Linked DNA regions of Danio rerio. The protein of the gene in region 1 interacts with the protein of each later gene in a pairwise test. Links are inferred from orthologs where the notes say so. Each region holds a gene or a part of one and is shown in the gene's direction. Other genes may lie near its edges. The genes, in order: prmt1, spegb, daxx and btg1.

What was found.
Region 2: the proteins of prmt1 (region 1) and spegb interact in binary tests that used the Homo sapiens proteins (3 or more experiments, as listed by UniProt). The two-hybrid records come from large-scale screens. The link is inferred for Danio rerio from reciprocal best matches to the Homo sapiens genes PRMT1 and SPEG.
Region 3: the proteins of prmt1 (region 1) and daxx interact in a two-hybrid assay, tested with the Homo sapiens proteins (2 studies listed by BioGRID and IntAct). The link is inferred for Danio rerio from reciprocal best matches to the Homo sapiens genes PRMT1 and DAXX.
Region 4: the proteins of prmt1 (region 1) and btg1 interact in a two-hybrid assay, tested with the Homo sapiens proteins (2 studies listed by BioGRID). The link is inferred for Danio rerio from reciprocal best matches to the Homo sapiens genes PRMT1 and BTG1.

The regions. Positions count from the first base shown.
Region 1 is NC_133178.1:31,170,047-31,178,888, reverse strand, and holds the start of prmt1 (protein arginine N-methyltransferase 1), read left to right. Parts: upstream 1-4,105; 5' UTR 4,106-4,196; coding exon 4,197-4,223; intron 4,224-5,202; coding exon 5,203-5,298; intron 5,299-5,389; coding exon 5,390-5,545; intron 5,546-5,677; coding exon 5,678-5,741; intron 5,742-6,114; coding exon 6,115-6,257; intron 6,258-6,363; coding exon 6,364-6,451; intron 6,452-6,543; coding exon 6,544-6,659; intron 6,660-6,745; coding exon 6,746-6,896; intron 6,897-7,001; coding exon 7,002-7,123; intron 7,124-8,842. UniProt on the Homo sapiens protein: Arginine methyltransferase that methylates (mono and asymmetric dimethylation) the guanidino nitrogens of arginyl residues present in proteins such as ESR1, histone H2, H3 and H4, FMR1, ILF3, HNRNPA1, HNRNPD, NFATC2IP, SUPT5H, TAF15, EWS, HABP4, SERBP1, RBM15, FOXO1, CHTOP, MAP3K5/ASK1, MICU1 and NPRL2.
Region 2 is NC_133184.1:43,384,541-43,392,679, forward strand, and holds part of spegb (striated muscle preferentially expressed protein kinase), read left to right. Parts: intron 1-3; coding exon 4-30; intron 31-1,539; coding exon 1,540-1,692; intron 1,693-1,818; coding exon 1,819-1,861; intron 1,862-2,062; coding exon 2,063-2,131; intron 2,132-2,220; coding exon 2,221-4,831; intron 4,832-4,908; coding exon 4,909-5,058; intron 5,059-5,251; coding exon 5,252-5,368; intron 5,369-6,720; coding exon 6,721-6,888; intron 6,889-8,139.
Region 3 is NC_133194.1:8,074,834-8,082,972, reverse strand, and holds part of daxx (death domain-associated protein 6), read left to right. Parts: intron 1-856; coding exon 857-1,231; intron 1,232-1,773; coding exon 1,774-1,905; intron 1,906-3,043; coding exon 3,044-3,160; intron 3,161-4,234; coding exon 4,235-4,466; intron 4,467-6,776; coding exon 6,777-6,946; intron 6,947-8,092; coding exon 8,093-8,139. UniProt on the Homo sapiens protein: Transcription corepressor known to repress transcriptional potential of several sumoylated transcription factors. Down-regulates basal and activated transcription.
Region 4 is NC_133179.1:17,123,001-17,129,831, reverse strand, and holds the end of btg1 (protein BTG1), read left to right. Parts: intron 1-2,958; coding exon 2,959-3,362; 3' UTR 3,363-4,084; downstream 4,085-6,831. UniProt on the Homo sapiens protein: Anti-proliferative protein.

The DNA.
Region 1 (8,842 bases):
GTGCCATTCTTTAAAACCCTTAAAAATGCATCAAGTAACTGTTATCAAACTCAACAGCAATCTTTAAGAGGTAAAATTGAAGGTACAAAACAGGCAGATGCAGAACACCAGAGATACATCTTAACAAGATGACCCTCCTATAACGCTTAGCTCAAGGCGACAGCTTGATAACTGGATTATCGTGAAAAACACAACTGAAACGTGTCCTGTTGGCGAACAGCGATATCAACTGCTATCCAGCAAGTCAAGGTGACGAGAGACAAGACATGCTGGATAGCCGATCTGCAGAGGAAAGACGCGGTTTTCGGTGGCGGCCTAGCGGACTGTCTGCCGATGTAGCATCACTCCATCATCACCGGAGCTAAAGCTAACGGGCCTCAGAGATCAGCGATTACTCTCCTGATCTCCCTCATCAAGCGCCACTGATCTGACTGGCATGATTCACCCCGGCTAGAAAGCACAGCGAAGCAATGCAGAACAGAGCAGTTTGATTCAGCGTAGGGCGTATGTAGGAAGAGCTGAACACAGATGTTTGCGTTAGAAAATGACTAATGGTGTTTGAGTGTGACAGGGGCACTTACAGTTCCTGATGTCCGAAATGAACACCGCTAATCCTCGCATTCCGTCTCCTTTCGACACAGCCGGCATGTTTGCAGGGTTCTTCTCTCCAAGCCGGCTTCAAGACGAAATAAATGACTTTCAGATGTTCAGAGGTGCAGGTTTGACTGGCGCTGGGTGAGTTCGCCGAGCTAGTGAGCTAACTATCACGAACTCAAACACTAGCAGCAATTTAGCCTTGAATTGAATTTGAAACGCTCGTTAAACACAAAAATAACACCGCGAGATTATTCAGGGGTAAAAGAAGTGAGTGCTGTGAGAGAGAGAGAAGCTGGGGAGTCGGCGCGACTGGGGTTTCCGTTGGCTAACGTTAATTCATTCAATCCCGTGAACTCTCTTCAATGGGAAAGCGATGCGAGGCATAAACTTACGTTGCGACACGAGCTAATTTAAAAAACAAGCCAACGTGTTGATTTAACTGACGGGTACGCACCTAAATGTCGATGGTGCTAAAATATCAATTGATACCTCTCTGACTTTGAGTCACGCACGGCAAGCTAGCCAAACAGCTAGCGAGCTGGGCTAGCTCTATCAAATGTTAGAATACATCACCCAAAGGACCGCGATAGGACAACGGGGAATCCTGCTTCTTGACGAACTAATCTGACAAGCCTGTTTCTCGACAGAAAGGTGAATATTGGCTATAATTAGTCGTCAATTATGTACGAGACTTTTCGTTCGGTCGGTGTTCCCGGACGGAGCTCGTGACAGAACGGCCACCGAGCTCGCTCTTGCGCTTCCTCCACACAAGTCCCGCCTCCTGCTTGTTTCTCTTCATTTAATTGGCTAGTTACACTTTTGTCTCTGTCATTCGCTACTTGATTTGTCCGCTTATACATCAATTAAAATTGATAACTATTCTAATTGGCTTGAAAACAAGATCGGCACTGTTGAAAGTATCAAAGTGCAAGTATGTGGGAATGGTGATAAGTTGGCAAAATAGAGGTTGTAAATGGCACTAATTCCATCTGACGATTGCTGTTCCTATATTTATTTGCAATAGTGTGCAATTTAATGTGTGAAAGGAGAGAAATTACTTTTTCTGCTTAACAGAACTGTTTGGGAAAATATCTAATTGCGATTTGTCTGACAGAGATTGCAATATGATTTCTAATTTAATTATGTGAAGTAAAGCTTTAGCTCAGTATTGTCAACAGTATGCAGCACTCACTTGTCCAATGATCTAAACTAATTAAATCTTACAGTTTTTGAGGCATTTTCTAAATCTCTTTAATTAAATTTAGCATTTAAGGCAATATCAAATATGTTTATTGTGGACAATGGTGGCCAATTCAGTTAGGTACCCACTGCAGTATAAATAAATAAATTAAAAAGATAAAATATGTTGAATATATTATTAATAAAATTACACATTTGATTTGTTTACAGCATTCGTTGCAAATATGTTTGTTTTTTTCAACAAAGTAAGCTATATTTGATGATGCATAACCATCTTGTACATGGTAAATAAATATATTTTCTTTTTGTATGGTCTCTGTTACAATTCACCAGGAACTGAACAATGTTATATAATGTAAACTTTGATTTATAGGAACTATTCATCAAAGAAAAAGTGTCACCATTTGCTCACACTGGTGTTCTTTAAAAATTGTTTGCCATGATACATAAATACAAGATCATATTCTCAAGAATGTTGTCCAAACAATATTATTTCCTGTTAAGTATGAAAAATGAAAAAATTACCAAACTAACTTTTTTTTCTCATAGAAGATGTAACAAGGAGGACATTGGTCTTAATCTGAGCTAAATCCCATAGTATGATAATGTACAAACATCCATTTTCTCCAGATGTTGTTTTGTAAATAATCATTATTGTCTCCTATTTTATCAATGCCTTCTTTTTTTTAGAAATGTGCTTACTTTGCAAACTTTGCTTACTTTGTATAATTATAACCATATAGTTTATTTTGTGAACAAAACACATGACTAAAGGATGGTTTCCTAAAAAGATTTTGTAAGCTTTTCTATTAGCTTGACAAAAGTCCAACTAATAAAATTTACATGAAAACAATGAAACCATAATTCATTCATTCTCCTTCATCTTAGTCCCTTTATTCATCAGGGGACGCCACAGCAGAATGAACCGCCAACTTATCCAACATATGTTTTATACAGCGGATGCCCTTCCAGCTGCAACCTAGTACCAGGAAACATCCATACACACTCATTCACACTCATACACTACACCAATTTAATTTATTCAATCCACCTATAACACATGGCTTTGGTCTATGGGGGAAACCGGAACACCAGGAGGAAACCAACGCCAACACAGGGAGAACATGCAAGCTTCACACAGAAATGCCAACTGACCCAGCTGGGGCTCAAACCAGCGACCTTCTTACTGTGAGACGACAGTGCTAACCACTAAGCCACTGTGTTCCATAAACAGAAATAAAATGGAATACAGAAACTTGTGCAAAATAAAATATTTTTTCATATTTATTGTACAACATATAGATACATTTGGTACATAACATTTACAATAATAATTATATTATTTACAATGGTACCAATAAAGAAACAACACAAGAACAAAAAACAACAGAAATCAAAACAAAGAAATATGATATCAATAGGTTATCTAATCTGAGAATAGATGCAACAGATAATGAAATTGAAAATAAAAAGGGCAAAATAAAAAAGATAACAAAGATTGGGATATTTAATAGATTACACATGTTGTGCAAATTGTTTACGTTTTGAGTGCATTCTTGTTAAGTGAATCTGGAATTGTAAGTAAATTTTGATCTCTTGTATAAAATACACAAGTGGATTTTATATTTGAAAATTTTATTTATAAATATAAAATATAGGCAGGGCGAAGCAGTGGCGCAGTAGGTAGTGCTGTCGCCTCACAGCAAGAAGGTTGCTGGGTCGCTGGTTCGAGCCTTGGCTCAGTTGGCGTTTCTGTGTGGAGTTTGCATGTTCTCCCTGCGTTTGCGTGGGTTTCCTCCGGGTGCTCCGGTTTCCCCCAGAGTCTAAAGACATGCGGTGCAGGTGAATTGGGTAGGCTAAATTGTCCATAGTGTGTGAGTGCGTGTGTGAATGCATGTGTGGATGTTTCCCAGAGATGGGTTGCAGCTGGAAGGGCATTTGCTGCGTAAAAACTTGCTGGATAAGTTGGCGGTTCATTCCGTTGTGGCGACCCCGGATTAATAAAGGGACTAAGCAGAAGGAAAACGAATAAATGAATATAAAATTTACATAAAAATAGAATAGGGTTTATTGTGAAGCAGACATTAAATTTGTATCTACAACCCAAAATAATAAATGTTGGATTCACAGTAAAATTCTGTAAAATAATATTTGAGATAAAATAAATAAATAATAATCATGTTACAGTTTGGACCAATGACAGTCACGCATCAAAAGAGCGGAAAAACGCATAGTAGAAAAGCCTATGACGAAGAGCCGCAGGAAAGTGGGTGTGGTTATTGTAAAACCACGTGATTGTCACCCAATCAAATCATACAGTCACAGCAAAGAGGCGGGAGCAAAACAAGTGTGTTTTACATGAGCTTTGCTGCAGTCGCGGCTGTGTCCAGTTTATCGAAATGGCGGAGACGGCAGACAGAATGGAGGTAAGCTGAAGCTACTCAAGGCCGGTTCGCCAAAAACGCTTCTGATGCTAAATATCTCGTAACCGTATCAGAATCGACACGGCGATTTTATTTACGTCACACGCCGGTTCCGAATCTTTGGTCTGTGAACAGATTTGATTGCTGCGTATGTAGTTATCAGGTGGCTAGAAATGTGCGCACACGCATCTTGAGCATCCATTTTAGCCTGCCGCAGATAATTCATTCATTTCGCATCACGTGTATGCTAGTGCTAATGTGCTAAATTTGAGCTAGCTTCGAGTTTTTAGTTGTTGAGTGTAACCACAGATGAATTTTGAGATTAAATGTATGAATATTTCTGTCATGTTAGCTACCGTTAGCTCGCTGTTCAGTTTCCACGTGAGCACGCTGGCGGAGGACTTCAATGACTTATTGTTGGGCAGAGACCGCATGGGACTGATGGATAGGAGCTAACGTTACGCTTTTTTTTCCTCTCTGCTAATCACAGTGATTGGGTTTTTTAATAAAACATCCTGTATTGTTTACTATGATCTAGTACTTGCGTCGTGACTAAGTTTTCTTTTAGACCACTTTTCCTCAAATGTGTATAATTAAAAAGTAGAAAAATTTAAGCTTAAGAGGACTCTTCAAAGGTTAACGTTAGGCGTGTGAAGATAAAATATGACTTTTTTTGCTTAACTATCCATTTTAAAAAAAAATGTGTAAAATGGTTCATTGCCTGCTGTGATATTTGCCAAAAGTTGGAACTAAATTCAGAGGAAGCCACCGACTTTATGTAGTTCTGTGTAAAAACACTGTTTACTCAGGGTTATTTACACTTGGCATGTTTGGTTTAAACATGTTTTGGGTCATCTCTTGACTAGTACCTTATTGCTTGCTTGTTTGTTTTAATATACTGAAGATACTGCAAATGTTTGAGAAAAGCCCAGCTCATGACTTTACTTGCTTATTTACATTTTTCTTATCTATTGAAATTGAGGTGTCCCAGGGAGAGAGCTCAGCGAAACCTGCAGCTGAAGACATGACGTCCAAAGACTATTACTTTGATTCCTATGCACACTTTGGCATTCATGAGGTACTTTCTTGTTAGTTCATTAATCTCAGCATTAGTGGTGAAGTCAATTTAATTTATTTATAATTAATGTAAACCCATTGAATCTTCACAGGAGATGCTAAAAGATGAAGTTCGTACTTTGACGTACAGAAACTCCATGTTTCACAACAAGCATCTCTTCAAAGATAAAGTTGTGCTGGATGTGGGAAGTGGTACTGGCATCCTCTGTATGTTTGCAGCCAAAGCTGGAGCCAAGAAAGTTATTGGGGTGAGAAGTAGTCCCATGATTTATTTAAAGCATTTTTGTTACATTTAAGCCATTTATTTGTATGTGGTATTATTTGATCATGCTGTGTATTGTCAGATTAATTTATTAATTTGTTGGTCATTTATTCCTTAGATTGAGTGCAGCAGTATATCAGACTATGCTGTGAAGATTGTGAAGGCCAACAAGCTGGATCATAGTAAGGCCTTCTCAGAGCTTTTGGCATCTTCATTGTTAACTTATTTTCTCAGCATGTTTCAAGGGATAGTTCACCCAAAAATGAAGTTTTACTCCCTCTCAAGTGGTTCTAAACCTATCAGTTTCTTTTTTTCCTGTTGAACACCAAAGAAGATATTTTGAAGAAAGCTGTAAACTGGTAACCGTAGTGACAGGTTTGCATCTTTCTTCAAAATATCATCTTTTGTGTTCAACAGAAGAAAATCACAGGTTTAGAATGAGTGAGGGGAGGTTAAACAATGACCATTTTCAGTTTTGGATTAACAGTTTTGGCCTATACCCATTTTATTCTTTATGTACCTAAAATTTTTAACCATGTACTTTTTCCTGTCCAGTCGTCACTATAATTAAGGGCAAAGTGGAGGAGGTCGAGCTTCCTGTGGAAAATGTAGACATAATCATCTCTGAGTGGATGGGCTACTGTCTCTTCTATGAATCCATGCTTAACACCGTCATTTATGCCAGGGACAAATGGCTGGTGGGTGTATGCTAATGTCTTTTACCATGTTGAAACTGTTCAGTATAAAATCGTATGTGCTTTCTTGATTTAATCACTGTTCACGTTTTCCATTGTTGGCTTTCAGAAACCTGATGGCCTGATTTTTCCTGACAGAGCCACCCTCTATGTCACTGCTATCGAGGATCGGCAGTACAAGGATTACAAAATCCACTGTACGCATCAATCTCTTAATGCACTCTTGAGTCTGTTCAGCTTTCTTTAAAGCAGTAACTCATTTAATTGTTTCATATTTGCACTTTTTTAGGGTGGGAGAACGTGTATGGATTTGACATGTCCTGTATTAAGGAAGTGGCCATTACAGAGCCGCTGGTGGATGTTGTTGATCCCAAACAGCTTGTTAGCACTGCTTGCTTAATTAAGGTTTGTTTGCAACCTTTTATTTTCCAATGTTCACATAATCCCTGCTTTCCTCATTTAATATTCAATACGTTTTCTTGATTCCTTAGGAGGTGGACATCTACACCGTGAAGATTGAGGACCTGTCCTTCACGTCACCTTTCTGCCTGCAGGTGAAAAGAAACGACTACATTCATGCTCTGGTAACCTACTTCAACATAGAGTTCACTCGCTGCCACAAGAGGACAGGCTTCTCTACCAGTAAGTGCTGTGTGTGGTGTTCACCACAAAATCACTTTGTATTCACCACGAGTTTATTGTATTGAAGGATGGTTGAACCCTGTTTAAAGTGAGTTTTGCTTGCAGGCCCAGAGTCTCCTTACACTCACTGGAAGCAGACTGTGTTCTACCTTGATGACTATCTGACAGTAAAGACTGGAGAGGAGATCTTTGGCACTATCAGCATGAAGCCCAACGTCAAGAATAATGTGAGCCTTGTGTGCACGTCTTACTTTTAGCACCTTTAGTGAAAGTGTAGGGATGGTCATATATATCTTGTTACCATTTTAATGGGTTGATTTCTGTATTAAATTGAACATTTTTCCAGTTTCTAATTTATGAAGTCTAAAAGCTCTTCATTTGGAAATTATATTGTAAAATTACAACTTAATCACTTCTAAACGTTTTCACTTTCTTTAATATTAATTAGGGGTGTTAACCTACACTGGTCTCACGGTTCGGTAACGATTATCATGCCATCGATTCAGTTTAATTCGATATCTCAGTGCAAAATGAGTTTTTTTTTTTTTCTCCCAACACTATTTTTTTTTTTATTAAAATCTGAAAATATATTAATATTTATATATTATTTGTAACACAATTTTGTCCTTTAATACAAGAAGTAAGATATATGAACTGTACCTTTAATTTGACCTGCTCAAAGAAAACACTCTTTTTCAAGGTATCAAACAAAACTCCCAATACATACACAGAAGACAACATGAGCATTTTTAGGCAATAAACTTATGGAAATATTATCCCACTTGCTTTGAGCGTTGTTGAGTGAGGTCTTGCCTCTATGACTGGTTATTGTCTTCACCCGTTTGACAGAAACAGCTGTGATTGGCTTTAGACATAAAAGTGCTGTTCACTGATGAGTGACACGGGAAGAACAGCCATGGTTACAGTCTATATGTGCATAATATGCAGTTATCAAAGGTAATCCACAGTGGAGAAAACTCGCACCACAGGGAGGTTCGTGTCTGGATCCACAAGTATCGCTTTACCAGCCAAGAGAAGGGGAAAAGTTAACTCATGAACAGGCCAGCGGGTCAAATATACAAAAGTGAGGGAGGGAGGGAGGGAGGGAGGGAGAGAGAGAGGCAGAGATGGCTTTTTACAGCATTTCTCCTTAGTAGTATAATAGCGGCTCATGTGCTGTGTCTTCTTCAGTCAGTCTCAATGAAAGCCTTTCCAGTAAACTCACAAGCAGTTGAACTGCAAAATTATCTACCTTTTCAGTAGTAGGAGCGTTTTATTTACTTGCCCTCTCCTACTTCGCCATAGTATTCTACTGCGACATCGTGCATAGGAGATAAATGACATCAGTATCCAATAGTTTTTTGACACCCCTAATATAATAATAACTTTAATATCGGCCAAATGTTATTTGCAGAAAAGTTAATATATTTAGACATGCATCTCTTGACTAGCCAATTTTTTTTGCAGGATCATGTACACTCTGCCTGCCTGCACTCCAGATTCAGTGCAGCCCTAACATTTTTAATAGTTCCTCCCCCAAAAATGTTTTGTTGCTGAAGTAAAATTTTCTGCTATACAAGTCATTAATGCTTTCAGAGAGAGGATTTTTTTAAATTATTATTTATTTTCCAAATTATCAGCATTTGCTTTTAAAATGTCTTAAAATATGTCATGTCTAAAAATAATAATATAATAGTACTAAAAAAAAAGCATGCATTAAAGCATATAATCCTTGGACTTCTGTAAAATAAGAAACTAGGCAAAAGTTAGTTACAGTGGAAAATTGCACATGTTGGTTTGGGTTAAACAGTAATGTAATTTAATAACGCAAATGAAAAATACATGGATTCTATACAGTTTGTATATTCTGATTTATATATTCAAATTAATTTGATATTCTATAGTAATGTTGGAAAATTCAGCAAAAAAACAGTATTATTGGCTAG
Region 2 (8,139 bases), on another chromosome or scaffold:
CAGGCCCATTGGTGTTCTGACATACTTATGGTAGGGAAGTGTCCATATTATATTATATTATATTATATTATATTATATTATATTATATTATATTATATTATATTATATTATATTATATTATATTATATATTTGTTCTGTTACTTTATTTAAAATAAAATGTATAAAACAGTTCTATTTGTATTCAGTATTACAGGAGTTTCTCTAATAACCACCCAGAACACCATAGCAACACCATAGAAACCATCGAGCGGTCACTCAGAATATCCTACCAACACCTTAGCAGCCACTCAGAACACCATAGCAACACCTTAGCAACCACTCAGAACACCATAGCAACATTTTAACAACCCATCAGAACACCTTAGCAACCACGTAGAGCCCCTAGCAACCACCTAGCAATGCCTTAGCAACCACTCAGAACACCTTAACAACCGCCTAGCAACCACTCAGAACACAATAGCAACTGCCTATTAACACCTTAGCAACCGCCTAGCAATCACTCAGAACACCTAAACAACTGTCTAGCAGTCACTCAGAACACCCTAGCAACACCTTAGCAACCACTCAGGACACCCTAGCAACCACCTAGCAAACCCTTGGCAACCATATTAAACACCCTAGCAACACCTTAGCAACAACCTATAATGCCTAAACAACTGCCTAGAAACCATTTAGAACACCTTAGCAACCACAAAGCAACATCTTAGCAATAACCACATAAAACACCCCAGCAACGCTTTAGCAACCACTCAGAACACCTTAACAACACCCTAGCAACACCTTAGCAACCACCTAGAGCATCATAGCAACCATCTAGCAATGCCTGAGCAACCATTCAGAAAAACCTAGCAACCACCTAGCAATGCCTTAGTAACTACTCAGAACACCATAACAACCACCCAGCAACACCTTAGCAATGACCTAGAATGCCTTAGTAACCGCCTAGCAGCCACTCAGAACACCTTAGCAACCACTAAGCAACATCTTAGCAACCATATAAAACACCCTAGCAACACCTTAGCAACACTTAGAACACCCTAGAAACCACATAGCAACCACTCAGAACACCTTAGCAAAACCTTAACAATGACCTGGAACACCCTAGCAACCACCTAGCAATGCCTTAGCAACCCCTCAGAACACCTTAGCTACCGCTTAGCAACCAGTCAAACACCCTAGCAATGCCTTAGCAACCGCCTAGCAAGAAATATTCCAATCCATGCTAGAAACATGCTAGCTTACATGTACTTATCTATCTGTGTCAACTGTTTCAAATGTCTTTGAAACTTTGAAACTACTTTAAACTTTCAGACTAGAGTTTTTCAATCCACTATAAAAATTGTTTACGAACTTATTATATTATATTATATTATATTATATTATATTATATTATATTATATTATATTATATTATATTATATTATATTATATTATGTTATGTTATGTTATATTATATTATATTATATTATATTATATTATATTATCATTTATTCTGCCACTTGATTTAATTTAAGATGTACAAAACTGATCTCTTTTCAGTCTTACTGGAGTTTCTCCTTTTGCTGGGGAAAACGACCGCAGCTCTGTTCTCAACATCAGGAATTATAATGTGGCTTTTGAAGAAAGCATGTTTACAGACCTCTGCCATGAAGCCAAGGGATTCGTCATCAAGCTGCTGGTGGCTGATAGATTGTAAGTGGAATCAACGGTTCTTATCTGCTTCACCACGCTCCTGTCGATAATTTATTGTCAAGAAAATGATTTTCACTGCTAAAAGCACTTTGTGTTAACTGGTAATTTGTTTAATGTTATCTGCAGGAGGCCTGATGCTAATGAATGTCTTCGCCACCCCTGGTTCAAGGTAAAGGCATAGTGAAGGAGTAAAGAGGAATGTGCCCTTGTAGGAACACTTCACTTTTTTTGGAAAGAGGCTCATTTTACAAGTCATCTAGCATTAAACTGTTGTATCTATTAAAATCTTGCTGTTCATTTATGCTGTAAACAATTTTAAACCATGAAATTACACCCTATAGCTTAATTGTTTCGCCTTTTATTGTTTTAGACCCTCAACAAGGGTAAAAGCATCAGTACAGAGTCCCTTAAAAAGTTTTTGTCCAGAAGAAAATGGCAGGTAAGATAATATTTGACTTTTTTAGTGTCTAGAACATTACAAATACTTTGTGTTATTTAATTGTAACAATGTTAACATATCTCTCTTAGCGATCGCTTATCAGCTACAAATCTAAAATGGTGATGAGGTCTGTACCTGAGCTACTGGATGACTCCTCCAGCCATATTTCCATTGCTGTTCCGCGACATCTGAAAAAAGGCTCACCACCACTTTCATCATCTTCAGATTCAGATGAAGACATCGATGAGTTGCCTTTTATTCCCATGCCACTCAACGTGGAATTCTCAGGATCTAGAATGTCACTGACCGAAATTGTAGGTGATGATGACATGACAGGTAAATTGAATGGAAATGCTGAGAGGCCTGCTTCACTCCATCCGAAGTCCGAGCCAATGGAAGTGGAGATGTCAGAGAGAGAAGGTGGAGATCCATCTGCTAGGGGTAGAGCCAAGAAGAGGACTACAACAGAAGATGAAAAAGGGTCGTCTGATGAGGAACCATCACAACTGGCCAAAAGAGCAGAACTGGCAAAGAGACCAATGCGCAGAGGTTCAAGCATGGAGTCAGATGAGCCAGAGGGAGGACGTCGCAGAGGAGAGTTACGCAGAGGGAGTTCGGCTGACAGTGCCTTACAGCTCCATATCAAACCAGAGGAGGGCACAGAAGAAAGTCCTACTGATGGAAGTAGAATTCTACAAAAGTCTGTATCTATGGAGCTTCCAAGGAGAAGCCCAAGTCCAGGTGCTGCAAAGCTTAGCCAGGAAGACTATGCTCTGAAACTGGAACTGATGAGGCAGCGACTACTCAGGGGTGGCTCTGCTGACAACAAGATGAGTGGATTACGAGGCCCATTGCTGGAGACACTAGGTATGGGAGATGAGAAGCGGTTTGTGCGGGGATCTCGTCTAGGTAACCCTCCACTTGTTAGAGCGGCATCTAGTGAGTCACCTAGAGATGACATCCCAAAGACAAAGATTCTCCGCAAGAGTGCTTCCTTTAGCCAGGGGGATTCAGAGCCCATGCCCCTGCACAGAAGAATCGGAGCACCTCTAGAGATTCCTCTAGCACAAATAGAGGAGAGACGCCTACAGGAAGCAATATCCATGTCTGCTCTCACAGAGCCTGTCAAAGATTCTCGCCCAATCACTCCAAAACTTCAAATGCCTGAAGAAGAAAGACATGAAAAGAAGAAAACTGAAGAAAAAGAATCTGTCTACAAGGACAATAAACCTGAAGAGGTTATTGCTGTGTCAAAGACTGAGGAAGAAGGAAGACGTGTTGATCAGAAATCTTGGGATTCTGATGCACAGAAAAAGGACCAGAGCAAGTCAGAGGAAACCAGGGAAGAGTCTGAAAAAGTGGCTGAAATTGAAAAAAAGACCTCTATAGTGGACGAAACAATTGAGGAAGAGGAAACAAGAAAAGATGAGGAGCCAGAGAAAGAAACTGAGCCTCCTACTCCAAAGATTGAGGTTAAGGAATATGAGGGTGATGTAAAGGTATTACCAAAGTCTCCAGAGTTTATCATTTCCACAAACTCAATCATGGTGACCCCAACAGCTGCCCCAGCATCCAGTCCCCAGAGTGTATCAACCTATGTTACCCCATCTCCCCCTGCACGCACAGTGCTCCCAGATGGTAGGATGTCCGCATATGCCAGTATTATGCAGACTATCATGGTACCATCTGTCCCAGCAAATACCCAATCTGACACTGTTCCTATTCCTACACCAACTTCCACTCCACCATCAGTTCCAGTCTATGCACCCATTTCCAGACACATCTCAGAACCAACCCTTTCATCAACTTCTTCATCCAAATCAGATCTTCACCAAACAACTGAGCATCCTGCAGTCTTTTCTCGGGTTGCCTCCACTGAACACCCTCCCAAAGAGCCAAGTCCTCCTAAGACACCCACTCGCGCCTCCCCTAAGCGAGAGCCATCTCCTGGAAGCAACATCCAGGACCTTGCATCCGAGGAGGTTTTTGAAGCTCGCTTCAAGAAACGTGAGTCTTCTCTAACTCGTAGTCTCAAACGTTTCTCATTTCAGAAGACTGAAGACAAGCCCTCCACTGTTTCTCCTGAAACTGCTGAAGAAATGTATCGCCCTGGACCAACTGGTGCTCCTTTAGAGTTTGTGCCAAGGAGGTTGGAGGAGAAGTCCAAATCAGTACAAGATCTTCGAGAGGCAGAGAAGGACCCTGGGTTCATGAGGCGACTCTCCATGCGCTTGAAAAGGACCCCATCAGTGGAAAAGCAGGAGGAGAAGCTCAAAGAGGAGGAGGCTTCAGCACCCAGGCGTCGTCTTTCTTGGGCACTGGGACGGAGGGGATCCCAAGAGAAGAAGGAGATTGAGATGATGAGGTTGGATGGGGGTCCTGAGCCTCCCCCAGAGCCTGAGTCTAAAGCACCTTCTGAGTCACCTATTCTTGCCATGCGCAAGAAGATTGGCAGCACCATGGCAAGCTTATCTACAAGAATTAGGAGCCATTCTGAGGACAGGAAAGATGACAGTGAAGGCAAGATGGAGACCAAGAGGACTCCTATATTCAACAAACTAAGGCGTTCCACTTCTGAGGGGGGCAGTCTGAAGAGAATGGGTATCCCACAAAACCAACTGGCTGCTCAGTCAGGGCAAGGGACCTCATCAGAATCTCTTGATTCTATGTCAAGCATCCAGTCAGAATCAGCTATTAAAAGTATGCAATTTTTCATTCATTGCTTTATTTTGTTGTCAGTTCTTCTAATTTTAAAGGGCATTAAATGTCTTTTCCAGATGCAGAACTTGACCGCAGATCACGGTGGGACCGATGGGGCTTGACTCGAGGGAAAAAGGACAAGACAGTTTCCCAACCAGACATCCCAGCTTCCATTGCTAGAGAGAATGGTTCTCTACGGTCTCGCCAATATACACGTCTAACATCTGGTACTGCACATTTTACTTGTATATTTCACTGTAACTTTGCAGAAATAGAGAAATCTGTTTGAATACTTGCTGCTTTGTCATAAACCTAAAATAATCATTGAGTCAATTATGAATATGTACTTGCTTTGGCACAGCAGTGAAAGATACATGATGCTTGTCTCACGGTTTTTTTAATCATTCAATCAAAAAATAGACTTCCCTCCGGTGTTCCATATCAAACTGAGGGACCATGTACTCTTGGAGGGAGATCCTGTCACTCTCAGCTGCCTCCCTGCTGGCAGTCCTCACCCACACATCTCATGGATGAAAGGTCTGATTGAATTTTTAATATTAGCTTCTGTTGTACTAAAGATAATATAATCTGGCCTAAATTGAAAGCAATGTCCATAGAGACTGATCTAATAAAATTGCAAGTGTGCCGTCTCTTTTATATAGATTTGTTTCACTATATTGGCTTTGTGTTATTTTATTTATATTAATTAATTTTCAGTAAATTACAATAGACTATCTAAGGCAATAATTGAGTAGTTTGAAAGTTTTATATAATGCATAATATACTTTTAGCTTGACATCATGCCAAAATAAACTGACACAGTTTCCAGGATTTGGCTGTGATAAACCATTTTAAAATCAAAATACTGATACAATTTAAATGAAAAAAAAAAACACTTAGCAAAAACTTAGTTCTGATATATTTACCATAGTAAATGTACAAAACATCTTAATGGATCATGATCTTTATAATATTAATTTTGAGAATTTTGACACCTACAATGTTTTTGACTATGTCCAAAAATATATATGTGCAACTTAAGGTCCAAGGTTACATATTATAGATAAACAGATTTGTGGATATGATATCATGTAAGTTTAAATGATCTTTTAATTCATTCATTTAAGAATTAAAGTTATTCTTTAATAATGCCCGCTTTGATACATTAATTGTTGTGCTGAAATAACCAAAGCTATTTATTTTTATATTATTAATACAAAAGTCTCTTTTCACCTCAAAGTTAATATCAGTAATGCCACCAAAGTCTAAAATGTAAACAAGCAGCAGAACAAGCAGCTTGTAGAGATTTATATTTCGTAAAAGCCACAGTTAAAGTCACAAATATTAGCTGAGCTGAATTATTAGCCTCCCTGTTTATTTGTTTCCCTAATTTCTGTTTAATGAAGAGAAGATTTTTTTTCAACCCACTTCTAAACTTAATGTGTTTAATAACTCATTTCTAATAACTGATTTATATTATATTTGCCATAATGGCAGTAAATAATATTTTACTAGATATTTTCAAGACACTTTTATACAGCTTAATGTGACAATTAAAGGCTTAACTAGATTAATTAGGTTAACTAGGCAGATTAGGGTAATTAGGCAAGTTATTGTATAACGATAGTTTGTTCTGTAGACTATCAAAAAAAAAAAAAGATAGTTTAAAGGGGCTAATCATTTTGACCTTAAGTTAAAAAAAGAAGAACTGCTTTTATTCTAGCCGAAATAAAACAAATTAGACATACTGTGAAAATGTCCTTGCTCTGCTAAACATAATTTGCAACATATTTAATAAAGGAAAAAAAATTCAAAGGGGGCAAATAATTTTGACCTCAACTGTACTTTACACAACTAACATTCTCAATTGAAATGTTGTGTATTCTCAGACAAGAAGCCACTTGAGATTGACCCCAGGATGAATATGATATCTTGCCCCGATGGGAGACAACTGCTGATGATTATGAAGACCACCAAGAAGGATGCAGGCCTCTATGAATGTGTGGCTGCAAACCCACTGGCCACAGTCACCAGCTCATGCGTTGTGTCCCTCGCTCGTAAGTCCAACACAAGAAAAAGACCAAGCCAAAGCAAATTAGTCCAGCTGATCTAACTAAATAGCTAACTGGTAACTTTATATTCTGCTGGGGAAAGCTTTAGTGTATAACTTGTAGCAAATCTAGAGGGCTGATCATTTCTGTCGTAGTCTTTTATGCATTGCATATACTGTAGAAGTCCGATATAAGGAGATACATGCAAATTGATAAATAAGTTTATATTTGGATTTCACATGTACAAAATCATAAAGCATATTTCATATATTTCAATATATTGCAAAAATGGCAGTTTACATATATATGTTTTCAACCATTGGAATTACAAATGCGTAATAAATATTTAAATATACAGTGCTCAGCATAAGTGAGGACACCCCATTTTGAAAATGGGAGTATTTTTGTCCATTTCTCAGTGCATTTGAACAAAACAGATTTACTATAAGGTTGTGTCATCGTCATCAAAGCAGACAACCTGCTTTATTCCGGATGTCTTTCAGGGATGTAATTGTTGACCTACTTTGGCTGCTGTGTATATAACATAACGATATTGTGTCATTTAATACAGCTGCAGGACGCACATTAGTTATTATTCTCTGCAAATCATCTGTCCCTATGTCTTCTTTAATTCAGTGCTACAGCCTAGCACCTCAAATTTAATAACTGAAAGTGTCATAAGTTTAGATGATATTACAGATTTATAAAAATATATTTTATAAATAAATAAAACTATAAAAAAAGGGACTAAGCAAAGGGAAAGTAAAATTTTTAAGGTTTATTATTATTATTATTATTATTATTATTATTATTATTATTAATTAATTAAGTATATTAGGCTACTACTGGTTGAAATTGTTGACTGACTACTAGTTATCACACTGGAATAAAGAGTCGACTATAAATTACAGGGAAAGTTATATTCAGTGGACACAAGATATAAATAATAATACTAATAATAACAACAACAATAATAACAACAATAATAATAATAATAATAAGATTTTAATAATATAATAATAATAATAAGAGTTAGTGTTGACATCTAGCAGCGGTGTGTAGATCTGACCCAACATTGAGGTACAAAGTATAAACCTATCAAAAAAATAATGCTGGATTACCACACCTGCTATCTAACTCGCTTTGCAAAAACGATATAACAGTCACTTGTGGTATACTGTGTTGCAGTGTGCGTGTCTTTAAAAAAGCACACATACTGTGTGTTCCATTTGTATACCAAGTTCTTCAGTAAACCCA
Region 3 (8,139 bases), on another chromosome or scaffold:
TTAAATAGTATTTTGAGACCGCATTTTAAATCTTCTAATAGATCTTCAATTGATTTTTATAAACTTTTAATAATATTTTTGATAGATAAACTGTACCAACACCTTAAGACATTTGAGTGTCTGTCTTTTGTACGGAAAATATATTAATTAAAAATCTGAAAATGGTAAAAATGTAGGATAGTCATTATTCTTTGCTCAGAAAAAATAAAACTAACATTGCATGTCTCATTTAATGCTTTAACACAATTCTAATGTAGGAATTATATGATTCTTTTATTATGATGATGCCTAAAATCATAATTTTCTCTTTTTATTTTTATCTCTCTTATTAGGCACCATATAAAACAGTTGCACTTGTCTAGCATACTTTGTTAAATGCATTCTATAAGGTGGTCTGAAATATATGTTTTTGTTTTTAAATGATAAAACAATACCCCAGTATTAAAAAAAAATGTACGCCAGCTGTAAATATAAGGGATAGTTCACCTAAAAATGACATTTACTCAGTATTTACTCACCCTCAAGTAGGGCTGGGCCGATAAATGATATTACCCTAAAGGATTTTAGTCCTTTATCTGTTGAACAATAAAAGAAGACATTCTGACGAATGCTGAAAACCTGTAGCAGTTGACTTCAATAGTAGGAAAACAAATACTATAGAAGTCAATGTTACAGGTTTACAGCATTTCTCAAAATATGTTTGTTTGTGTTTAACAAGAGAAAGAACTTATGAAGATTTAAAAAGAGTAAAGAGTGGGTAAATGATAACAGAAATATTCTTTTTGTTATCCTACTAAAATTTTGTTTATTTTGCCTTCTTTCTTGTCTCGCTTCTACTCCAATCCTGTTCCTCCAGTTTGTGGAGCACTGCTCAAAACACTCGCAAGAACATCCAGAAGTCATGACTTACCTGCAGACCAGATACTCCAAGGCTTTGCCGACCTTTCTGACGTCTGTGGAGTTTCGTAACACTTTGGGCCGCTGCCTCACTCGAGCCCAGGCCAACGCTGGCAAAACCTTCGTCTACATTAATGAACTCTGCACTGTTCTGAAGCAGCACACGCCGCGGAAGAGAAGCTCCATACAGTCGCTTTCTGTCAAGGCCAAACCTGAGGAGAAGAGCAATGGGGTTAATGTTAAAGAGGACACTCAGGGTGAACAAGACGGAGGAAAAGATGTCAAACAGCAGGAAGAGGAGTCAAAGAAAACCAAAAGAGCTTCGAGAAGACAGGTACTGTAAGATAAGTTAACCATATACAGTTGAAGTCGGAGTTATTAGCCCTCCTTTTCCCCTAATTTCTGTTTAACGGAAGGAAGATTTTTTCAACACATTATTTTAACATGATAGAAACTCATCTCTAATAACTGATTTCTTTTGTCTTCGTCATGATGACAGTACCGAACATTTGACTAGATATTTTTCAAGATACTAGTATGCAGCTTAAAGTCACATTTAAAGGTTTAATTAGGGCAAGTTAGGGTAATTAGCCAGGTCATTGTATGACTTGTTGATTGTTCTTCAGACAATCTAAAAAATATATAGCTTAAGAGGATAATAATATTGACCTTTTTAAACTGCTTTTATTCTAGCTAAAATAAAATCAGTCAGACTTTCTCCAGAAGAAAAAATATTATAGGAAATACTGTGAAAAATTCCTTGCTCTGTTAGACATCACTAGGAAAATATTTATAAAAGAAACAAAAAATCACAGGAAAACAAATAAGTGTGTCTATTTTACGGTTACAGTAATTTGTGTGTCTCTCATTTTTCAGATTGCGTATCTGGAAAACCTGTTGAAAGTGTATAATGAGGAGATCCGCCGGCTTCAGGAGGGGGATTTGAGTTTGGATGACTTGGAGAAAGAAGATTCCAGTTATATTCAAGAGCACAAACTTAAACGCAAGGTCAGCTTGTTTATTCCTGATTTTAGTTCTTTCTGTATTTATTTAGCCGGGACAATGCTCAAAGAGAAAAACTTTAAATTAGCCAAAGTTAGTCACAAGAATTTTAGGGCGTACTCACACTATGCTATTCGAACCGTGCCCAGGGTTTCCCGGATCATTTCAGAAGTGTGAGTGCTCTGAATCGGGCTCAGGCACGGTTAAATGTCATATATATATGAGCAAAGTGCACCAGAGGCCGAAACTGAAGATGAGACGTGACTTTTACAAGACTGTTTAATATGGCATTATTATCATTCGTACTGTTCAATGAACACAAACTGTTGTAGATTTTAAAGACGCAAACCCCTCACTGCACGACAGCTGCACCTTCAGCAAACCTCCTAATTCCTGCAGCACGAGGTCTTTATGATTGTTTATGAGCGTCAAAAGTCATGGATCTGTTCGGCGAAATATTTTACTGCGTGTCACCGCATTCTAAATGACTTAAACAATACAACTGATTAAGAAATGTCCACTGTGCTGAGCGAAAGCGCTTACTGAACAGTACAGCATCGATGACGTAAGGGTGCCCAGGCCTGAATGTAATGTGAGTGCGGGCCGTCGGGGGAGACGGAAGGGGGACAAGCGTGCTTTGGCCTGGTTCAAGGCAACTGTACAGTGTGAGTTTGCCCTTAAATTTCATCTGTTGCCTCCTGCCAGGCATATATTCGTTTTCCTTTCGGCTTAGTCCCTTTATTAATGTGGGGTCGGCACAGAGAAATGAACCTCCATTTTATGCAGCATATGTTTTACGCAGTGGATGTGCTTCAAGCTGACCCATCGTTGGAAAACACCCATACACTATTATTCACACACGTACACTACAGACAATTTAGCTTACCCAATGCACCGCTCCAACCTTAAATCAAAAACACATTACTACACATACAATATCAGTAAAATTACTTGCAACAAAAAATTAAAAAATGGCAACATTTTCTTTAAAAAAATTACATGATTACAAACCCCATTCACTTCTGCCATTTTTTTAACTTGTATTCAAAGATTCAGTTAAATCTGTTTTGATGTATAATCTATGAAATCTATAGCAGAAGTTGTGAACGTTCAGAAGTTGTTATAGCTGTTTTTGTGGTGTCAGATGATGAAGATCTATGAGAAGCTGTGTGAGCTGAAAGGCTGTAACACTCTGACGGGTCGAGTGATCGAGCAGAAGATCCCATACAGTGGAACGAGATACCCAGAGATCAACAAGAAGGTGCGGGCTTTTGCTTGGACAGTTTTTTTACTTTATTTTCATACATTAAAGCAATTTAAAAACTAATATCTAGACTCTCTAAAAAGAGGGGAGTTTTAGCTCAGGTTTTAATTAGTTTATAATAAATTCCCTTAAAGCATAGGCTAGAAAATTTGAAATAAATAGAGATTTATGTATGATAGCGATCATTGATCAGATGATTCTTTTTAATACTGTTTTATTTTGTGTGTTTATTTCAAGTAAAACATGATTTATAATATCATTGATTTGTATTTGCTTGAAGATTCATTGTTTTAGGGATCAAAAATGGTTCATAAGTATGGATTGGTTTTCTTTTAGCATCATCAAGTAACGATTGTAGTATTTGCTATAGTTTAAAATGTGTTATTTTTAGATTAACTGCTTTGAATTTAAATTATTATTGATTATGGTCTTTTGTAGTTATTTTTGATGTTATACTTTTATTTATTATAGTTTCCTGGCAGCTAGCAGAAATAAAAGTTTAGTTTTTGTGATGTATTTAAAATTATAAGTTAAGGTTTATTTAATTATTAACTAATTATTTTGGTTTTCATTAACTACTGTAACCTTAATATTTTATAATTCAATAGTGCAGAAATTAGTACATTTACTTAAATTAAATTAAATTAATTCAGTTTAATGGAATATTTATGATTTTAAAATATTTGTTGATTAAATAAATGTGTTATTTTTCGATTATCTGTTTTTAATTTAAGCTTTATTAGTTTGATTATGATATTTTCCTGTTATTTTTTGTTGTTATACTTTTATTTGTATAGTTTCTTTGTAACTTGCAGAAATAAAAATAAGTTTAGTTTTTGTCATATATTTACTTTAATTAAATCAATTATAAATTAATTTAAATGTTTGTGTTATTATATTTGAGAATATTATTTTATTTTATGTTTACATTAAATGCCTCCTGATAAAACTCAAAAATGCTTATTGAACTAGCCTATTCCAGGGGCCTAATATTAATAAATGAATCAATGTTTACCCAAACCTTTTCCTCTCTCATTATCTCTTATTGTTTCTTCTCTTTTTGTTGAGCAGGTTGAGCGTTTCATCAACAGTTCAGAAGCTCTTCTCAATCCTCCAGACTACAGCGATATCCTGAAGATTGTGCAGAGAGCCAACGAACGCTACAATCTCCAGCTCTCCCGCAAACAGCAAGCACAGATCTCCCAAGAAGCCTTCAGAGAGACGGGCAACAAACTACAGGAGAGACGACACCTTGACATGGTCTACAACTTCGGCTCTCATCTCACAGATCCATACAAACCAAGTAAATCAGTTTCATTTAATAACTGTCTAATTCAGAAGGAAAAGCTCATATTGTAATAATCTAATGACTTGAATTTTTGATGATTCAAACTAGGGGTGGGCATTGATTGAGATTCTGATTCATAAGCAATCGATTCAGTAAATGTAGATTTAATCCGTTTTAAAAGTTCTATTGCAGGCATTAAAAGTCGGGGGTTTTTTGTGCAAGTTATGGATTTTTATTTATACGTTTTAAATAGTACTTCCCATTAATCAAAATATAATTAAATTACACTGCTCTTGAGTGAAAAGTAAGGTGTCTGGGTCATGGAAATTTAGCGTTTTAGTAGGTGAAAATCAGAAAAGTCAGGGAATTTGCTAATCAAATCACTTTTATTGTCGCATCATCAGCAGCATGTGTGCTATGATGAGTGAAAAGCTTAGGTGCTGACTCCAGACACGACAAAATACAGATACAGTGCAAATACAACGACAGTGCAAAATACAGACAGTGCAAACACAGTGACAATGTGAAATTGACAGCGATATGTACAATGAATAGGTGTCCACATCGTTGTAGGTAGTTTTGTTTCAAGTATGGATTGGTTAAAGTGCAGTGCATGCTACATTTTGATGGTTTGCTGTAAGGGTTATGGAAGAGTCTGTGTGTGGGTGTGTTAAGTGTTCATCAGCCTGATAGTCTGAGGGAAGAAACTTTCCTTCAGCCGGCTGGTGCATGACCGGATGCTGCATACAGTGGAAATACAAATACTTTAATACAAATGCTATTGATATTTCTAGAAAGTGATCAGGTGCATGTGTATTTTATTTGACTTTTTATCAGATGAATGTGAGAAGGAGTGATAATAATATGAAAAATAGCACAGGGTTTCAAAGACGGTGGCCCCCATTTTATATTCATGCATACACTTAAAAACATGTATGTATAGTGTTTGATATTGATAAAAAATCAATAAATATCATTTCTTAAATATTTAAAATGGTACAATCTTTTTGTACCAACCAACTTTTGGTTGGTTTTGATACCAGCAGGGAAATGAATAATTAATAATAAGACTTTTAACACTTTTGTTTTAAGCAGAATATTAAATGAGATTGTGCTAATTTTGTTGTTTTATATATTTTATATATAGGACTGCTGAGAAAACTTGATATGTGCATAACATGGTTTAGTATTGTTTTTTTTTTGTTGTTTTTTTTACTATGCTGCACAATATTGGAAAAATTACACTTTGATATATTTTGCGATATTAATACTATTTCACTAGATGAGTTGAATAAATGTTTGTAAAGAATCTATAATTTTAGTTTGATTGCAAATGTTCTGTAGGGGAGTGCATAAAATATAATAAACAGTCTACAAGAATGGATAAATTCAATAAAGAAAAATATGCTAATAAATAAACCTTGTTTTATTGTTTTCCGAAGAGTCAAAATATATTCAGGTTAATGGAGAATGAATAATCAAATCTAAAAATATTACTGCATAGTCTTAGTTTTATAAACAGTTAGATCGTTATTGTAATCGTTTTTTATTTTTCAAGGTTACAAACAATACAATTTTTTAGGCCTGAATGCTTTTAAAACCCTCACACAGTCACAGTCCTTAAAAAACACTTGCAAAATGATCAATTATAATCCAGACTCAACATTGCATATCCTGCGATGTGACTATTGCGAACGATCACATTGTGATATCGATGGTTAAACAATATATTGTTACTTCATTTGGATACTTTTAATTTTGCAGAATTTGTTCTCCGCTGTTTCAAATATTGATATTTTTCAAGGTATCGTATCGATGTCGGAAATTCCATTAATGTGGCAACACTAATGTATAAATATTGGTAGATTCAAAATAGTTCAATTAAGTTATTAAATACATGTTAGTAAAGCTAGGAAAAATATGCAGGCAAAGTGTATTAAATGTTTCATTATTTTTATCTTTTCTTTGGTTAATTTTAAAGGCATAAAAATTTAAATTATTAGACTGTGGTCGCTTTAAGACTTTATACATTGATTATGTCTCCTGAATTGCTTCAACTTTAGATTCAAATAATTTTTTTCACATGAATACTAACCAAATTGCCATTTTAATACATAAACCTGTATTTTATGGTCACTCAAGTGTTTGACCGTTTAAATATATATTTTTTATATAGAAAAATGTATTTAGAAAATATTTTACAGCTTTTGAGAATCAATCTCAAATCAACCTCCTATTAAAAATTATTAGTATAAAAATATATATTTTTCAGTTCATCAGTCTGCAGATGGAGTGCAGTTGGTCATGCAATGTGTGTTTCTCCAGCATTAGACCCTGCACTCATGGACCCAGCACTGCATCGTAAACTCCGCTCTAATAGAGACGTGGCCATCAGCAGCCTGGAGGAGGTCATCAACAAATACGCCAATAAACAGGAGGATATGGAAGTGGAGGAAACCAAGAAAAGACAAGACAGAGAAAGACTGAAAAAAGAGGTAAACGAATGAAGCATTTCTTGTTGTTCATATATCCAAAAATCTACAGAAGATTATAAATGTTCATATTTACATTTCTTAGTTTAGTAGACATATTTATCCAAAGCGACTTACTAATGAGGATGAAAAAAACACTTAGCAATGTATAGATGCCATGACAATTCTTAGTTTAGTTTATAGTTATTATTGAGTCCTAGTAATAAAGCTTTTGTAGAAAAGTGTCTGGTGCATATGGAGAGAAAAAGAGTGTCTGCTCCTACAGGTGGTTTGTCAAGCCCACTCAACTGCATGAAACATACTCAGAATTGCACAATGTTTTCCCAGAAACATGGAGTGTTGACAAGAAAGTGTCAAGTGCAAATAAATAGGGAGCTGTTTGCAAAGGGTTTGTGAAAATTCCATCAAGATGGACTATTAAGGGTTAAGGTCCCTGTGTTTTTTTATTTATTTTTATTTTGAGACCCTTTGTGATGGTAGCACAGAGCGAAATTCGGTATCTTAGCTCAGAGTCTTACTGTTAAGAAGATTAACTTGTTTAGTATTACTATTCAGGGGTGCTTTTCCCAAAACCATCATTAGCAAACTAAGTTTGCAAGTTCCGTCGTTACAAACATAGTTCGTTGATTTGCCCTTTTCCAAATCCATCGCTCCAACAAACATTCGCATACTTGAGCACATGAAACTACACCTCTGGAGCTGTAGTTAAAAAACATAGTTCTTGGCTGTTTTCTATTTCCATTTATCCCCCTATGCCCTATTAATTTAGAACATTCTAAAATTCAAAGTTGGAATGTTTAAAAATAAAAAAGTTTTACATGATTACAGTTGTGCTCCCGTTGCAGTGCACTTTAGTGTATATAAATATATATATAAATATAACTTTTATTCTCTCTATTAAAAAACAATTTTAAAAAATCTAATTCAAACTATTTACAAAGTTCTATTTCTTTGAAAAAATTAATTATTGTAATAATTTATAAGTAAAAAATATTTTTAATGAATCAACTATTTTATTATTCATTAAAAAAAAACGTAAAATATTTTACTAAATCCTGTTTCTGTATTTCCAAGACAGTCAAGCTTATTTTATTCATATGCAAGTCTGAAACCACACACTAATATAAATCTTTCCTATTTTTTGTACAGGCTGTTAATGGGCAACAGAGTGAAAGCAAAGAAAAAGAAAAGGAGGA
Region 4 (6,831 bases), on another chromosome or scaffold:
TACTCTAAATGGGACGCTTTGTCTTTAAGAGGTGGGTTCCTCCCCCTCCAGCTGCCTTGCCAGGACTTCAGCCTTTTGCTCTCGTTGTGTTTGAAGACTTTGTGACTCTCGGGCCAAAAGGGGATTGTGCAATCAAACGGCTCTCTCTTTCTCCATCACGTAGGCCTTGGACACAGATGGTTAATGGTTGTTTATCTGCGTTCAACCAATGATGATTTTGCGCTGGGAAAAACATCTTTTTAGACTCTCACTCCATCTTTTACTGCATAACCAGGCCGAACTATCAGAGTGCAGACTTAGTACTTGATTATGGGTTCAGCATTATTAATATTTGAGTTGATTTGAGTTCTTTTAATACATTGCATATACAGTGCTCGACATAATTGAGAACACCCCATTTTGAAAATCAATTTCTCAGTCAATATGAGTAATATATGTTGGTGCATTAGAACAAAACAGATTTATTAAACATATATTTATTAAAATAATATTTTAGTCACCAAAAATATTTAAAAAAATTAAAGATAATACTATTAAATCCAATCAAATAATTGCTAAAAAATTACATTCTACAAAATTTCAACTAAATATTTCAATTTCTTTTGCTTCTCTTTGTATTTAATATTTTTCAATAACATATAAATTTGGGCTACTATTTTTTGAACCATTATTGTGACTTTTTTTGTTAGATTAGCTCCTGATTTTGGTTTAGTACTGACTAAACTAATGTAAGTGCACAAATATAAAACTGTAAAGCAGGGGTCTCAAGCTCAAACATGCCATTTCAGTGAATGACAATTTATAGTAGGGCCGTTTTAACATTAAAGCACAAGAAAATGATGATGTTTACATTTCAGCCATTACCTGTCACCAGTGATAATGCGAATCAGCATGTTTATTGTTTTACACAGCTGCATCTGTGGCTGATTAAATTAGCATTTTGACATTTAAATAGTCATAATAATGTTAATAATAAATATTTTTATTCTGTCCCAACTAATTGGTGCTTCACCAAAAATTTAACAGATAGCGGAAGAGCGGCAGAAACAATTTGGGTAACTATACTGACTTTACTGGCAATTGTTCTAATTAGTATTTTTCTTTTTTGTACAACTACAACAGAGAGGGAAAAAGTAAGTACATATTCTCATTTACTTTAACATGTTCAGTTCAACTAGCAGTAAAATGTACATAGTTTTCATAGAAATCTCAATACGCAATATGAGGAAAATCTATTAAATAAGACCATTTGAATCAAATATTAGCAAAATTAGCATTTTTGTTACACCACCAGCATAAAGTGTAAGCCATGAAAAAGTGTTTGTTCAGTAAAATACAGGTTGAAAATAATCAAACAACCCTTTAATATTTACAAAAGTAGTGTTAGTAAAAATAGAGCACTTATGCACAAATTTCAATATTTAAATCAGCCTTTAGAAATAATATGCATGTGGGTTACTCTCAACCGCACGCTGAAAAAAAAGGAAAGTAAAACTGAAATACAGTATATTACACTGCAGTACTTTAAATGTCCAATAGATATTCTTAAATTCTGCACCTTTACAGTATTTTTAGTTTTTTAAGAGTGCTGAATTTAAAAATTATTAAACATTAAAATGACATAAAACTTAGGAATAAAGTGTGCAAATGTTTGTTAATAAGTCTAAAATTTAGCTAATAAAACTTTTTTTAAATTTTATTTTAGTTAAGGTAAGGATAATAAAAAAGATGTTATTCTTATTAAACTTAGGAATCCATAATAGTACGTTAACAAATCCATTTGTGCCAATATTAGAAATATTACTTTGAGATTAAAATGATCAGAGTTTTATTAACAGATCCACCTAATTTTAGATTTTTGCTTGCTTAACATAAAATAATAGTGTTCTTACCATTGGCTAGGGCATGATCTTATTGTTTGACCAGACATGTACGTGTGCATGTATGCATTAATATATGTGCACCCTCAACTAAACTGATAAACATTAAAAAAACATGAAGGGCTGCACAATTCTGGCTGAAGTGAGAATAACTATTTTTGTTCCCCCAGGGTTCTGTAGATGTAAAATTAAAATTAATACGAGTAGGCTATTAATATGTTATTTAATAAACATGGTAAAACAACAATATTAATATTAGGCCTATTTGTGTAGTGCTAAAAATGCTACATTTTGTACAGACTTGGAATCGTGTAGACTTAAATAGACTTAAATTTGTCCTGGTCGTAAAATGTGACACGATCATGTAAATGATGTGCGCGGTTTTGGTTTCACTTTCACTGCCAAGTGCGCTACTGTCATGGCTGCTGTCACTCAGAGAAAAAAACATACATGCATGTTATTCATGTGAATAACAGGTAATAAAGTTGTAAATTACTTTCAGTTTGTTGCACAGAGCAATCGTTTGGGAGCTGCACAGGGGCTCCCGAACGATTGCTCTGTGCAACAAACTGAAGATAATTTACAACTTTATTACCTGTTATTCACAGCTTATGCCAGGTCTGTTCACTAAAGAAGACATAATTCCCGTGCGTGCATCCTCGTGTGATTTCGCAGCCACGAAAACATCATTATATTATGACAGAAATTACATTTTTGGGTGAATTATACCTTATAAATACAGTATGTGACACTTTTAATACCATTTGGAGGTGCTCATGTTGCTGAGCAACTTATATAAAACAATGTGACGACTTGTGAGGCCGCCTTTACACTTCTCCAGAAGTTGAAAATATAATTAGCTGAATCGTAGAGATGCTGGATTAAGATTGTGTGGGGGGTCGAATTGAGATCGCAATCTTTTTCTGATTAATTGTGCAGCTCTAACATGAATTACTGTTTAATAAATAAACATTGTAATCTTTTGCATTGCGATATTTGCTTTCTTTGCTTTTTCTTTTTTATTAATACTTCATATATCGACGATTACATAACGACCTCCTCCATTTCTCTCTTACAGAGCAATACAAACACCACTGGTTCCCAGACCGTCCAAACAAGGGTTCTGGGTATCGCTGCATACGTATCAACCACAAGATGGACCCTCTGGTTGGACAGGCTGGTCAGCGCATCGGGCTGAGCATTCAGCAGCTATACCTGTTGCTTCCCAGCGAGCTCACATTGTGGGTCGACCCATTTGAAGTGTCATACCGCATCGGAGAGGACGGCTCCATCTGCGTGCTCTACGAATCCCATCCCGGCACCAACGGAAACCCCAGCACCACCACTGGAAACAGCATCCCCGCCTCATCTGTCACCCAGGTATCGGCCATGGTGGAAAGTCACATCAGCTGCAAGGAGGAACTACTGGTTTTGGGTCGTACCAGCCCAGCTAAACCCTACATGATGACTGTGTCCAGCTAAACGGGTCACAGAAGTCATTTTTAAGAAATAAAAAAGAGAGAAAGGAGAAGAAGAAGAAAAAAAAAACAGGATGTGTCCTATCGTCCAGGTGATGGAAACCTTGTAGGTTTATTTTTCACTCGTTTTGGTTGTCTGTTCTGTTATTGTGTTGGATCTACCAGAGGCTTGACCCTGGGGCAGCTAATGAAGACCTAAAACACCGCCCGGCCCCCCAGCTCACAGAGACTGACCCACTCCCACGGCAGTGGTCATTGGGGGGGAGGGCGTTTCTGCCATCATCTGCCGATGTTGACTTTGCACTTTCGCTTTCACGGTTTATGTTATTGCATAAACACAAACTCCCTCTAAAATGTTAAGGAATTATGCTCCATTATGTTTCATCATGCCCTTTTTCTCCGTTTGCTGTCGAGCTGAGGCCCAAACACTGGGAGCCTGTGCCAGACCCTAGTGCCGCTCTGAGCCTCATTTTTCTAAAAACCTCACTTTTTTGGACCACAAAGCGGTACTTTTGTCTCTTCTTGGTGTCTGGTAGGGCTTCTTTTGGGCTTCAGGTCGACATGAACCGGTTTCAAGCCGCCTCCATCCTGTACACTGCCTCTGTGGAATATCTGTGTCATACTGTTACCCACGCTAGCCGTCGATGGCACTGTGATGCAAAGGTTCTCATGCTTGTAGCTTTTCTAGGGGCTCCCTCCTGGATGAATGTAATTTCTAACAAAAAAGAGAAGAAAAAAAAAAGAAAAACCCAACAACGACGACACATTTGATTTATTTAAGCCCCTCGTCATGCCAAAATGAAAAATGTAGCAAGGTTTGTTTTTGTTTTTCTTGACTTGGAGCAGACGTGGTCTTTACTTTCTGCCTCCTTTAGAAAGGATGTTGAATGCACTTTGACATTTTAGACTGTGTGGGATGACGTTTTCGATTCGACCCAACTGCATTCCATCGCATACCTCTTTATTCAGTTGTCGTAAATCGTTATCTCTGCTTGCGCTCTTTATGGAGCGACGTGGTTGCAATATTTGTGAAGGTGAGAGAGACATTTCAATCCCAGGTTATTCTCTCTTGCCATTTTTAATGACTGATTCATGTTAGAGATTAGGACTCCATTTAATGGCCAGTATGTGGCTAACAGACCGGCAAGAAACGGCGTCGACAAATGGACCAGTATTCCTATCTCCTCGCAGAATCGCAGAAGCCCCAGTGGTGCTTGCTTGTTACAGATGGTCTCCCGACGCACTTTCCAGCCAGGCGTCACCGGTCTCAGTCTTAACTAGGAGTGCGCGGTCAAAACATATCACCTCCCTCTATTGGCTGGCCGAAGAAGGGGGTAGGACCCTCAGATCAGGGCAGCTACAATCCTCTCCGGCCCCCTTCTCGCAGCCTGGAGGAGAGTATTTATGCCAGCACGCACACACCAAGTGCACTCCAAACCAAACTGAGCCTTACATAAAGAGCCGAGTCGGGATGAGAAGAGAGATACATGGGGTGCTCCTGGTTTCTGGACGATTCTGTTTACATTGGGTGGAAATAAGCGGGTTGCAGGCTTTGCGTGCGTGCGTGTATGTGTGTGCGACATATTGCTCTTGCCTTAGCCGCTAACTGCCGAGACAAGGTGCTGATTATCAGTCCTTTGTGTGTTAATACTTTTGACGTTAGAGGACCATGGGTAACGCCGGGTTATCGATGCACTGCCGTCCCTTTCTTTCTTGCTTTGGTCCAGTCACTTTAATAGAGAGATGGAAAGTCTATTTAAAAAAAAAAACGTATGACTAGAACGCCATCGCCATCCCACCTTTCTGAATGCTTTAAACTCTGAAAGGCGCCCCTCCCCCCACACTTTGCCTGTTGGTTTTAATGTTAAAGCTCTTAAACCACATTCTGGTGATCTCAACCAAATTGGAACAGACAATTCGAGTGCTTTTTTTTATTTTTATTTTAGATCTACTACAAACTACTTTGCCCCCCCACCTCCACCGAAAATAACATCAGCAAACCGTTTCAACTCTCCGCTTCAGTTCGGTAATTGTTTGCACACTAGTTTTAAGTATCGTTGTGTGAGTCTAAACTCAAGTCTACTTGGAGGCAAGAGCACATGAAATGCACTAATAGGTTAAACATTGAAGTTATGTGACTTTGAGACCACCGTGTCTCGATTGGAATGTATTGCCAAGCTCAGGCCACAGACATTCATTGAAACCCTTATGGATGTGCAGGTTAAGATGTGAAAAACAGAAGGGAATGATTCGGTCGGGAATTTTGTCGGTCATTTCAGAAGTGATTCGCGTTATTGCCACTTTCGCATCTGAGGTGGTTCCATATTTGTAGAATGTATTGTTATTGTACAACATATGGTAGATTAAGTACATAACCATACATATGGGAAGTGCCAATAATTGATATTTTGCTGTGTGTAGACGTGTTCCTTTTTGTATTTCATATTTTAACATGAATTCCTCTTTCATAAGTGAAGCCATTCGTGTTAGGAGTGTTGGAGAGGACCAAAGTTGTTTTGGTAAAAAATATATATATTTATCAGTTTCCATGCTCTGTGCTGATACACTTTCCTCGTTTTTTTTCTTTTCTTTTCTTTCTTTTTAAATTAAAACGAAAAAAAAGAAAAAATTCTGAGCAACCCAAGATAAAGCTGTCTGTATCTTGTGATTTTATTCCCCCCCCCCGTCTGTACATCTCTTGTGTTCATTCTTTTCCTCATTCTTGGGTATGTTGTGATGAACTGCTGTAAATTTGTACAGTTCATGTAAATTGATTGTGCGGAAGTTGTACAGATTTCTATATTTTGGAAGAAAAGTTTTTTTCTCTGTAATAAAAGATTTCCTATCTTGGCAATGTTTTCCAGTGGACTTGGTCTTGTTCTTTATCAAAGCAGGGTTATTTAGGAATATCCGTTTTGATATTTCATCCTTTGTTTGTTTTTGGAAGATATTTAATACAACAGGGTTGGGAGAGTTTTATCTAGGGATGCATGATATATCGGCGGGACATTGCAAGCGGCCGATACACTACTTTTAATGTTATCGCTATGTGTCGATGTCAAAATTACGCCGATATCTTCAAGCCGAAAGATTACGTAATTGTACATAAATGCTTGCCTCACACATCCTTGGGTCGAATTTGTTCAGACTTGTCTAGTGCACTATAACAAAGATTTTTACCTAGGGATGTTATCGTTATCGGTGTGATATCAAAATTTGGCTGACATCTTTAAGCCAAAAGATTAAATAATTGTACTGAACTGCCTGCCTCGCTCCATGCGTGAGTAAAATTTGCCCTATCATTATTGGCCGATAAATGCAATTTTTAATGTTATCGTTATCGGTCTGATATCAAAATTAGGCTGATATCTTTAAGCTGAAAGATTGTGTAATTAGACTGAAATGCCTGCCACGCGGATGCGTGAGTCGAATTTGTTTAGACTTGTTCAGACTTGTCCACTGCACTATAATGA